2 linked regions of the Drosophila melanogaster genome follow. The protein of the gene in region 1 interacts with the protein of each later gene in a biochemical or structural test. Each region holds a gene or a part of one and is shown on either strand. Other genes may lie near its edges. The genes, in order: Su(var)3-9 and JIL-1.

Region 1 (6,040 bases):
ATTGAATACTTTGGTAATTCTTTACTTACATAAAAAGACACGGCTTGAGATTCGATTTACGTCTTTTTATTTGTTTTAAATTAATTTAATGGTGATTCTCATTTTCTGCTGCTCTTTAATGGATGTATGACTTTTGCTTATTTCGAAACCTAAATATGTCCTTAAATCGTTGCGAATATGTAAATGTTGCATAACCATCGGGAAAACTATAGTTGCCAGTGGTTATAAACAATGTGGGCCTTCGGTTGCGAGCGATTTGAAATTGCATTAATCAGTTTACTTGTCATCTAAAATGGTTGGTTAGGTGGTTAGTAAATTCCTTCTGTTCAAAAGGCACTCCATTAGCTTACCCTCATCCTCTTCCTCTTCCTCGCCTTCTCCATCCTCACCGTCCTCGTCGTCAAATGCCTCCTCATCATTATCTTCGTTGTCCTCCTCGTCCTCGGGCTCCACCTCGATATCAGGTACCAGATAATACTGCAGTGGATTTGGCCAAAGGTCGTCTTTTATCAGTTCTGCGATCTCGTCGTTGACGGGATCGGTGTTATCCGAGAACCAATCGAAGAAGGTTTTGTATTCGGAGTTGCGCTTCTTCTTGTTTCCGTACGGCTTTGTCAGCAAAAGTTTTAGCAGGTTCTTTCCCTCCTTCCATTTGATGGGCGTGCTGGTAGACGCGGGCCAGTCTCCGTTCTCGGAAGCAGCTTTAATTGAAATAGTAATGGGTTAGCTAAGCGGATTTGAATCAATCGTTGGGAGAACTTACCCGCTGAATTCAGGTGGAACTCTTTGGTGAGCACCTTGTTTTCGAAGTAAGGATTCTCGTCGAAATGGAAGTTGATGCGGTAACCCGATTTGATGTCCTCAAACTCCTCAACCTCAAGTTTGTTGAGCGCGTGCAGGCACTCCTCCTCCTCCTCGTCCAGAATGCCGGATACTTGCGGGTGGTTGATAAACTGCAAATATGGCAGTTGGGATTAGCTAGGGGATGCATGCTATCAAGCAGAAAGCCATGTTTATGGCCCCTATGGCACTACTTTTCTTTTCAATTATGGCAGCAAATATTTCAGTGGTTTTTGATTTGAAGCCATTTTGAACTGTGCTATGTTGTGTATTTCCCGGCCAGACGGATATATCGATAGCACGATTTTTCCGGGAGGGGGAAAATGCGCGGGGAGCCGGTGGTGTCGGCATTGCAGCCCAAAGATGAACAAGAAAAAATGCCTCGAATAGAGAAAATTTCTTGTACATGTGTGCAGCGATTACCATCACTTCAGGGCTTCGAAAGATCTAGTCGGCTCCACTAGAACCCATCAGACGAACACGCGGAGGGGACAAACATGGCCGCGGATCGAAGTACTCACCGAGGTCACCCAAAAGTTGGGGATGCGCTTGACCAGCTCGCTGCGCTTCTCGTAGCAGGGCTTCCGCAGCTTGTTGTACTTCTGCTCCACCTTGAGGATCTCCTCGCTGGCCTTCTCGTTCAGCGCATCGATCTCGTTCTGGCAGGCATCAATTTGCTCCAACGCCTCCGACTCCTCCTCGTTGTTACCGGCGGCGGCGGATGTGTTGCCATCGGCGGGGGCGCCGTCCAGCTTGGCTCGCTTTGGCACGCTCGACATTCTGCACGCTCTTCCGTTGTGTGTACGCTCGTAATTCCCGAGATATTTGAACAAAAAGCGGCGGTACAGTTGAGCAGAAGAGAAGCGAAGCGGATTTTTAACCTTTCGTTTGCGGCTGAAGAACTGTAAGTGTATCGATAGGGCGGCACTCTATCGATACGCATCGCAGTTGGGCACCGGTGTGACGTGTCCAACACTGGCCAACCATGATTAGAGCACTATCGATAGGCATTGTCGGGTCCAATCGTTCTTCGATATCGAGATTTGATGCCGAGCTGTAATAGCTGAAAATTATTATTTTCATTTTGCATACGCATCGTTTTTGAAAACATCAGCAACATGGCCACGGCTGAAGCCCAGATCGGTGTGAACAGGAACTTGCAGAAGCAGGACCTCAGCAACTTGGTAAGCAGCCAGCAAAGACGACCGCCAGACGCCGCCTTCCCTTTTTTTCCGCCCGTGTGTGAAAGTATACGCGTCGTCATTATGGAGCCGCTTCCCGGAAAAACAGCGGGGTGCGGGTCGCAAGGACGCGCCCAGATTGTCTCGAACGGTTCGCGGACCAATTTCGAGGGATATACCAGTGGGTTTCGCCAGGGCCAGCAGTGATTTGTTGTGGGTGAGAGATCACGGTGAAAATGCAGCACGTGGCGCTACATTTAGGGTCTGTTTGGTTTATCCCGCAACTTTGGCTCTGCATATGGGCATGATGCGGACTCTGGCGGTATTTGGGCTCTGGCAAGCAGATCAGTTTCGCGAGGACTACCTGACTGTTGTCATCAATTTTGAGTTGATGCAATTCAAGCGACATTCTAACCTCAAAATTGACGGCTTTCCTATATACACACATGCATCTGAGAGGGGATGTTTTGTTAGGGGGTGTGGCGGCGGTAAACAAGACTTGTGCTCTGATTTTCCTCTATTAAAGCGCCTTTATTTATCGTATTGCATTTGGAATCTTGCAGGACGTCTCTAAACTAACGCCTCTATCACCGGAGGTCATCTCCCGACAGGCGACCATCAACATCGGCACCATCGGTCATGTGGCTCACGGCAAATCCACGGTGGTCAAAGCCATATCCGGCGTGCAGACTGTGCGCTTCAAGAACGAACTGGAGCGCAACATCACAATCAAGCTGGGTGAGTCAGGGATCCGTGTAAGCTAGCCTAAGCATATAATCTTAAGATGTATTATTCTACTTGATAATAATTTAGCCGTATGTTAATTCTTCCTGCTCGCCCGTAAACCCCGTAGTGCCCTAAGATTGTAAACCTTCTCGGCTGGCCGAAAATAACCCATAATTATCTTAAGAACCACTTTTTAACACCGTATCGCGACGGCACACCGCGTAGCCAACTCTGTCGCTGCTTTACATCGAGATAATGTTGTAAAAGGGTTCTGCGAATGATTGTCTCTTGTAATTCGAATTCTTGTGTATTTTGTTAACTTAAATTGCTGGATTAGCACGCGTTGCCTTGTGTCGTCGCCTAAGTAGTCTAAAATGATAAAAGAAGTTGTCTTTAGAATGTTGTACTTTACAAAGCTGAATTAAAAAGCGTTCCCAAAGATTGGTATTAAGCATATCTTCCTGTTAGCTTAGTCTTGAATCTGTTACATTGATTGATACGACTGATCCAGCAATTTAATTAATTGCCAATCTTTTTCTTCTTTTTCCCTATTTCTCTTGTTTTTACGATTTTTTCGGTTGCGACGCGTCCGCCAAATAAAAAAAAAAACACACCAAACCCATCATCCAATCCACAATTGTCCAAAACTTGTCATTTGCAGAACGCTTGAGCGAAAAAAAAATCAAAAATCTTTTGACCTCCAAGCAGCAGCGACAGCAGTATGAAATCAAACAGCGTTCAATGCTGCGCCACCTGGCCGAATTGCGGCGACATAGCCGATTCCGCCGCCTCTGCACCAAGCCAGCTTCGTCTTCCATGCCAGCATCCACCTCCAGTGTAGATAGACGCACCACCCGGCGAAGCACCAGTCAGACCTCACTGAGTCCAAGCAATAGTAGCGGCTATGGCAGCGTTTTTGGCTGCGAGGAACATGATGTGGACAAAATACCCAGTCTCAACGGATTCGCCAAACTGAAGCGTCGACGCAGCAGTTGTGTGGGCGCCCCAACTCCCAACTCCAAGCGGTCGAAAAATAACATGGGAGTAATTGCCAAAAGGCCGCCCAAAGGAGAGTACGTTGTGGAGCGTATTGAATGCGTCGAGATGGATCAATATCAGCCAGTCTTCTTCGTCAAATGGCTGGGATACCATGATAGCGAGAACACCTGGGAAAGTCTTGCCAACGTGGCCGACTGCGCCGAAATGGAGAAGTTTGTGGAGCGGCATCAGCAGCTCTACGAGATATACATAGCCAAGATAACCACTGAGCTTGAGAAGCAGCTGGAGGCATTGCCACTAATGGAGAACATTACGGTGGCCGAAGTAGACGCCTATGAGCCACTCAATCTGCAGATCGATCTTATACTGCTCGCCCAATATCGCGCTGCTGGCAGTCGAAGCCAAAGGGAACCGCAGAAAATTGGAGAACGAGCCCTGAAAAGCATGCAAATCAAGCGGGCCCAATTTGTACGACGCAAGCAGTTGGCTGATCTAGCATTGTTCGAGAAGCGCATGAATCATGTGGAGAAACCGTCACCGCCAATACGTGTTGAGAACAACATTGATCTGGACACCATAGACAGCAATTTCATGTACATACATGATAACATAATCGGCAAGGATGTGCCCAAGCCGGAAGCGGGGATTGTGGGCTGTAAGTGCACTGAAGACACAGAGGAGTGTACTGCCTCTACGAAGTGTTGTGCCCGCTTCGCCGGCGAGCTGTTCGCCTACGAGCGAAGCACACGGCGCTTGCGCCTTCGTCCCGGAAGTGCCATCTATGAGTGCAATAGCCGCTGCTCGTGCGATTCAAGCTGCTCCAACCGTCTGGTGCAGCACGGACGCCAGGTACCGTTGGTGCTGTTTAAGACCGCCAACGGCAGCGGATGGGGGGTGCGAGCCGCAACTGCCTTGCGTAAGGGTGAATTTGTGTGCGAGTACATTGGAGAGATCATCACCAGCGATGAGGCAAATGAGCGCGGCAAGGCGTATGACGACAATGGGAGGACATATCTGTTCGACTTGGATTACAACACAGCTCAGGATAGCGAGTACACTATCGATGCAGCTAACTATGGCAACATCTCGCACTTTATCAATCACTCTTGCGATCCTAATCTCGCCGTGTTCCCCTGTTGGATCGAGCACCTGAATGTCGCGCTGCCGCACCTCGTGTTCTTCACACTGCGTCCAATCAAGGCGGGCGAGGAGTTGAGCTTCGACTACATTCGCGCGGACAACGAAGATGTGCCCTACGAGAACCTCTCGACAGCTGTGCGTGTCGAGTGCCGCTGCGGAGCTGATAATTGCAGAAAGGTCCTCTTTTGAATGGACTTGAAGTACTATATTTAAATGGCACGCCGTTACCCACCTGAGACATCATTGCATTGAACCTTTTTTTTTTTTGTTAACATATATATATATTACTAGTTGGATTTTATATTCCGACGTTTTAATTATTTATTTGTTAATAAATGCTAATATCGATATATTGGATCTATATTATGTTTGAGGATCTATATTACTAGAGGATAAAACGAGTAATTCTATATAGTTTGTACTTGTATACATTTCATAAACTTAAATTTTAATTTAGTAATAACTTAGTGTTTTGACAAACAACCTTGTAATGTGCTGAAATTATTACCGCATTAAGTGCAAATTATTATTTTACAATAAATATTTTACGATTATTAAGTGATGTTTGTTTGTGGCTGTATAAATGATCTGGAAGGATCAAAGAAATGAATTTAGTTAGCAATAGCACTTAATTCCTTGTGAAGAACGAAGGATTATTTTACGTGTTTGCCAGGCCAGGAGTTCGAAGAATGTATTGTAATATTCTTCATAATTATTATCGCATTGCTTTTAGGTTATGCCAACGCCAAAATCTACAAGTGTGACAACCCCAAGTGCCCGCGCCCGGCCAGCTTCGTATCGGATGCATCCAGCAAGGACGACAGCTTGCCCTGCACTCGGCTCAACTGCTCCGGCAACTTCAGACTGGTGCGACATGTGAGCTTCGTGGATTGCCCCGGTCACGACATTCTTATGGCTACCATGTTGAACGGTGCTGCTGTGATGGACGCTGCTCTGCTGCTCATTGCTGGTGAGTAACCCTGGATCTCTCTGAACCGACAAAAGATATACAAATTACTACCTATTCCATGTGCAGGCAATGAATCCTGTCCACAACCGCAAACCTCTGAGCATTTGGCCGCCATTGAGATTATGAAGCTGAAACAGATTCTGATCTTGCAAAACAAGATCGATCTGATCAAGGAGAGCCAGGC
Region 2 (4,842 bases), on another chromosome or scaffold:
AAACTTTGATGAATTGAATTTTAATCGAAACTAGAGAAGGTTTAGTTTTTATCTAGATTTATTTTATTCGATTTATAAACAGCTGTTGTGAAAACCTCTTGACAAAAACGTTTACTTCAAAAAGGTGTTACTTTCCACACCAAAATCCAGACCAATGTCCTCAGTAAATAATATTTATTTAAAAATGCAACCGAAAAGTGTCAAATTTAACAAATAACAAGCAGCAACAATAGGTTTTCGACCCACGGTTATCAAATTAGACATTTGGGTGGTGGATATTCTGTCTGCTTTGTGTATATGTATGTAGAGTGTGGTGAGAGGTGAGTACGGCGAGGTTGGGCGATTTCAGGGGAGGTCAGTAGTTTTGGATTTGGCCCAAAGAGCGAACAAAGCCGGGTTGAGTTTTCTGGGTAATCGTGTCAAGGTTAAATGCATGTGCTCCACTTTAACAAAGAACGATAGAGACGGCACTTCATCTGGCATTGACCAGCCACCCTCTGCCGACATTTCAATAAAACCTTGAGACATCCACCCGGTTAAAGTTATCAATTATTCCACCACACTACCATGTTTGATAAGCTCTGTGGCAGCTGCCTTAAAATGGCATGAAATATTCACAGGGAAGAAGTTGCGGTTTAATTTGATATGGACGGAATTATTAAACTATCATATTTAACATAAGTACATCCTGACCTGCAACTTGTAACAAATTTTCTTATCTAGCTTGTGCTTGCAGTTGGCCCGGTCTTCTTTATCACTATCATTGAGTGGAATGACTCACCGTAGTATTTCAGATCGGTGACCGCCTCCAGGTCCCGTTGATGGGCCTCATTGTCCAGATCAAGGGGTGTACTATTGCTGGTGGGCATGGCGTAGGAGGGCGTGGTCGACGAGGAGGCCTTCGAGGCTGCTGCTGCCGCTGCTGCAGCCGCCGCCGCCGCCGCTGCAGCTGCATTGTTGGACTTGGCCTTGGACAAGCTGGAGCTGGATTCATCGATCTCTATCCCGTTCGGCTCATCCTCCTCCATGTCCTGGTCGTAGTACTCCCGCTCGGGATCGCGTCCGTCCTCGCTCTCCGCATCCGATATGCAAACAATATCCGCCACATTTGTGGTGGGCGGGGATGGAGGTGTGGGCGGTGATATGGTCTCGCGGTAAGTGTAATCCCTTGCAGATGCTGAAGTGGTCTTGCTGCTGCTATTGGTGTACTGACCGTTGGTGGCACTGATGCTGTTGTTGTTATTGTTATTATTATTGTAGTTCAAGGTCTTTCCAGAACCAGAGCCGGATCCCTCCGTATTCAGTTTGGACTTTTTCCCATTGGTCATCGTTTCGGAATTGCTATTCTTTCGCGTTTTGCCATTGCCATTGGCTACCAGCTGGCCATTTAGATGATTCCGCACCATTTGATCTGGCTCCTCGTAGGCTAGTGACTCCGATTCACGGGGATGTTGATGATTCTTGAGGCGCGACGTACTTGTACCGCTTAAGATCTCGTAGTTTTGCTTTTGCAAGCGACTCATGGCTAGATTCTTCCGTAAAAGATCCTATGCCTTTAATAATGCTCTACGTGCTCCTCACGTAATCGATGGATATTCCAGGAATTAACAAATAAAAATAAAAAGGTCCAGGGACTGATCGTGGCGCATCGTTGAGCTGGAAAAACAGAAATCAAAGTAAAGACATTTTTTCGAAAATCGCTAACAATTTGTAGACAATCATTAAACTTTTTGACACATTCTTATATGAGTACTGACATAAAGTTGTCATTTTGGCTAGCTAGACTGTTTTATTGTTGTAGTATTTTTAATTAGAAACTGAATTAGTTTTTTCTATTCATGGATGTTCAACAATGCATAGACAACATGTACGATATAAATGTTCCAGTTCACACATTTTAAATACTAAATAAATAATAACTGAATTGTTGAAATTTATTCCGCAAGATGTTTTGAACATAGCTGTTTCTTATTGTGTTCTATTTAGGCAATCTTCACCGTACCTTCCCAATGCCCATTGCCCATTTCTATCCCATTTCTTCATCCACAATATGGTACAGTTTCAACGCAGGCGGGAGTAATTTTCCCGCTGTTAGCGGACAATTGGATGGGGAAACTCATTTCTGAATAGAACACTATTTGGGAGTTCGACTCACCTCGCGAAAGATTATAAGCGCAATATTATAATGCAGACGAAGAAATCCGAATCGGAGTGTGTGTGTGTGTGAGTGGGTGGATCTGGATGGGGAGGGGGAAGAGTGTTGGATTATGCGTGGGGCGGTAGCGATGTGCAACACTGAACGTTCCAATGATAATGTGCACCGATTTATGCAGCACTGGCGTTGGCTTAAATATTATTCAACCAATTCGGTTGCGGTTTCTTTTCATTCTTCTTTTTTGCTTGTTATATTATGCCGTGATTATCACAATCTTTATCAGTCGCGCATTTTTCACTTCCACAGTTAGTTTTTTATTTTTTTTTTTCGATTTCTTATTCTTTACCGTTCTCTTTGCCCACAACTACGTACACATATGCACACTCACACGCTGGCACTTTCTGTATCGGCTGCGTTTTTAAAGCGTTTTTGTTTTCGTCCGCTGATTCCGCTCCGGCGACTGTTGCTCTCGATTTTCAATGGATTTTCCAATTTCCCTGCGTACGCTTGTACTTGTTTTTCAATAGACAATACAGTAACGTTTTGATATTGAGATTGAATGTTTTGTATAATTTGTTTTGTGTTACACGAGAAGGTTTTTACCGCCGCTTTCTACTCGTTTACGCACACACACATTGAAACGCAGGACGCTCTCCGCCATCTGCTTTGCTCTCATTCGTGAACACTTATTAGGTACGGACCACCTTGATGGGAATCGCGTCGATTTCCGTTACACTCGATCAAATCGGGTTTATATCTGTATTATAGTACAATATAATACAATTAAAATCGAGAGAGCCCTAAAACGATTAATGCCGGATAATTGGCTATTTGTAATTTCAACACACAGCACACGAACCGCACGTAGAAATTTTCCCTTTGCTTTTGTGTCACTTACCGTAGCTATCGTTATCGATAGTGTTGACAAGAGGCCAAAAAGCGTGGTGCTGGAAAGCAGCCGTATATCGGTTGGCAGGGATGGTGGAGACTATCGTTTCAAATATTTAAGAATATTATATTTTGATTAACAATTATAATGAAGAATAAATTTAAGGAAAATGTGAAAATTTCGTTTATCAATAGAAAAAATATAAGAATTACCATAAATTTTAGTTTGGTTTTATTGAACTATTTCGTAAGCTGCACGGACGTAAATAAACCTTAAAAAGTAACCATAATATTTGACAAATTCTTTCTCGCCAAGTCGGGAACTGTGCATCCATCTTTCGGATAACCAACGGGCAGTAGGATGAGTAATTTTTCATTGACGGGTCGCCCGAGCAGGTTTCTCAAGGCTGGACCGCAGTTCAAAGGAGTGGTGACCAGCGATGCGAGTCCTGCCGCTTGAAGGGCACACAAAAGGATACCGGCCGCAATCGAAGTGGATATCTCGTTGTAGTAATGCCTCCTCATTCGCTTTCCATTCTCCGACAATCCATAGGTCTGCTTGAAGATCAGTATAAGGTACGGCGCCTCGGTGAGATACTCCTTGACATGATTGGTTTGCAGGGGTCGCAGATCGGTGACCCACTGCGGATGCATCCTCTGGCTGTAGTTGACCAGCTCCTCCTGTTCCACAATTTCCCGAATGGATCGCTTGAGTTCCGGCTCCTGTACGACGCAGTACGTCCAGGGTTCTGTGTGTGCGCCACTGGGAGCTGTTCCCGCCGCCCGAATGCAGTCCTCTATCACGCTGAGATCCGGTTTGGGATGGCTATTAAAGGAGCGAATGCTACGGCGTCCACGCATGAGTTCATATAAGCGTTTGGCTCCATTAGGGTTGAGATTCTGGCCGGGAACGAAGGGCACATGGGGCTTATCCTCCAGAGCCGGTTGCAGTTCATCGCCAAGATCGGCAAAGTGTTCAACTGGAAAATAGAATAGAATAGCTTTATGTTCACCGTGGATAATCTTAAAACTTACCCTCCTCCTCGACTTGTTCATCTAAATTATATGTTTTTAATACGCGATTCCCTTTAAAAAACAATCTTTTTACGATCCATATCAGCGCCAGAGTGATAAATAAACTTGGCCAATGCTTGAGTAGCTTGGAGCTGCTGATCAGTTCGTCCACATCCATGGTGCTTCAAGATGTAACTGCTTTTGCGACGGAGAGAAAGTGGCTTTGCTTTTGCGCTCGGATTGGCTTATCACTTGGTTAAGTGGGTCACGGCTATTGCTGATAGCGATGGATGCTGGTGGATGGGTTTTGGTTTCCACTTCAGTTGTTGTTCCGGCAGCAGTAGGTGCAATGGCTGCCCTTGTGATGCTCGCACATCCTCTGTTGTCCCTTTTCGTGGGCACTCCTATCCGACATGCATTTTGGATTCTTAAGCATCTGATTGGGCTCACCCGGTTTTCGTTTTTGCGGCGGAATCGGTCGGCGTGTATTGTTGAGTGGAATGGCCTTCTGGTGAACCAATTGGCGCTTGTGCACCTCTCTCAGAATCTCGATGATCCGCCACTTGGCATCGAAGAATATAAAATCGGGAGCAGTGGTTAGCTCGGTACGTATCATATCGCAAAGCATCTGCACTTGCTGGCTATTCGCGGATTCCTGACCGGATGGTTCCTTCTCCATCAAGTGAGCCGGTTCTTTGCTGGATTCAGAAATATCTGAATTTTGCGGACTGGATACGGAATTTCGCGTAGATTGTGGTGGTGTTTCCCGACACGGGGGTTCACAC

Evidence for each region.
Region 2: of the proteins of Su(var)3-9 (region 1) and JIL-1, one has a biochemical effect on the other in vitro, tested with the Drosophila melanogaster proteins (one study listed by BioGRID).

Annotation. Positions count from the first base shown.
Region 1 is NT_033777.3:15,259,266-15,265,305, reverse strand, and holds Su(var)3-9 (suppressor of variegation 3-9), read left to right. Parts: upstream 1-1,847; 5' UTR 1,848-1,958; coding exon 1,959-2,024; intron 2,025-2,368; exon of another isoform or gene 2,369-2,467; coding exon of another isoform or gene 2,468-2,509; intron 2,510-2,584; coding exon 2,585-2,759; intron 2,760-3,408; coding exon 3,409-5,075; 3' UTR 5,076-5,442; downstream 5,443-6,040. Other genes in the region: Set, read right to left, coding at 277-287, 351-701, 764-953, 1,362-1,619; eIF2gamma (eukaryotic translation initiation factor 2 subunit gamma), read left to right, coding at 1,959-2,024, 2,585-2,759, 5,620-5,856, 5,923-6,040. UniProt on the Drosophila melanogaster protein: Histone methyltransferase that specifically trimethylates 'Lys-9' of histone H3 using monomethylated H3 'Lys-9' as substrate.
Region 2 is NT_037436.4:11,090,117-11,094,958, forward strand, and holds the start of JIL-1 (JIL-1 kinase), read right to left. Parts: upstream 3,078-4,842; 5' UTR 2,156-3,077; intron 1,741-2,155; exon of another isoform or gene 1,657-1,740; 5' UTR 1,524-1,656; coding exon 782-1,523; intron 1-781. Other genes in the region: Iyd (iodotyrosine deiodinase), read right to left, coding at 3,317-4,023, 4,079-4,235; CG46439 (uncharacterized protein), read right to left, coding at 4,377-4,842. UniProt on the Drosophila melanogaster protein: Phosphorylates 'Ser-10' of histone H3. May regulate gene expression by establishing or maintaining the structure of more open chromatin regions. Also required for normal polytene chromosome structure, for oogenesis and for viability throughout development.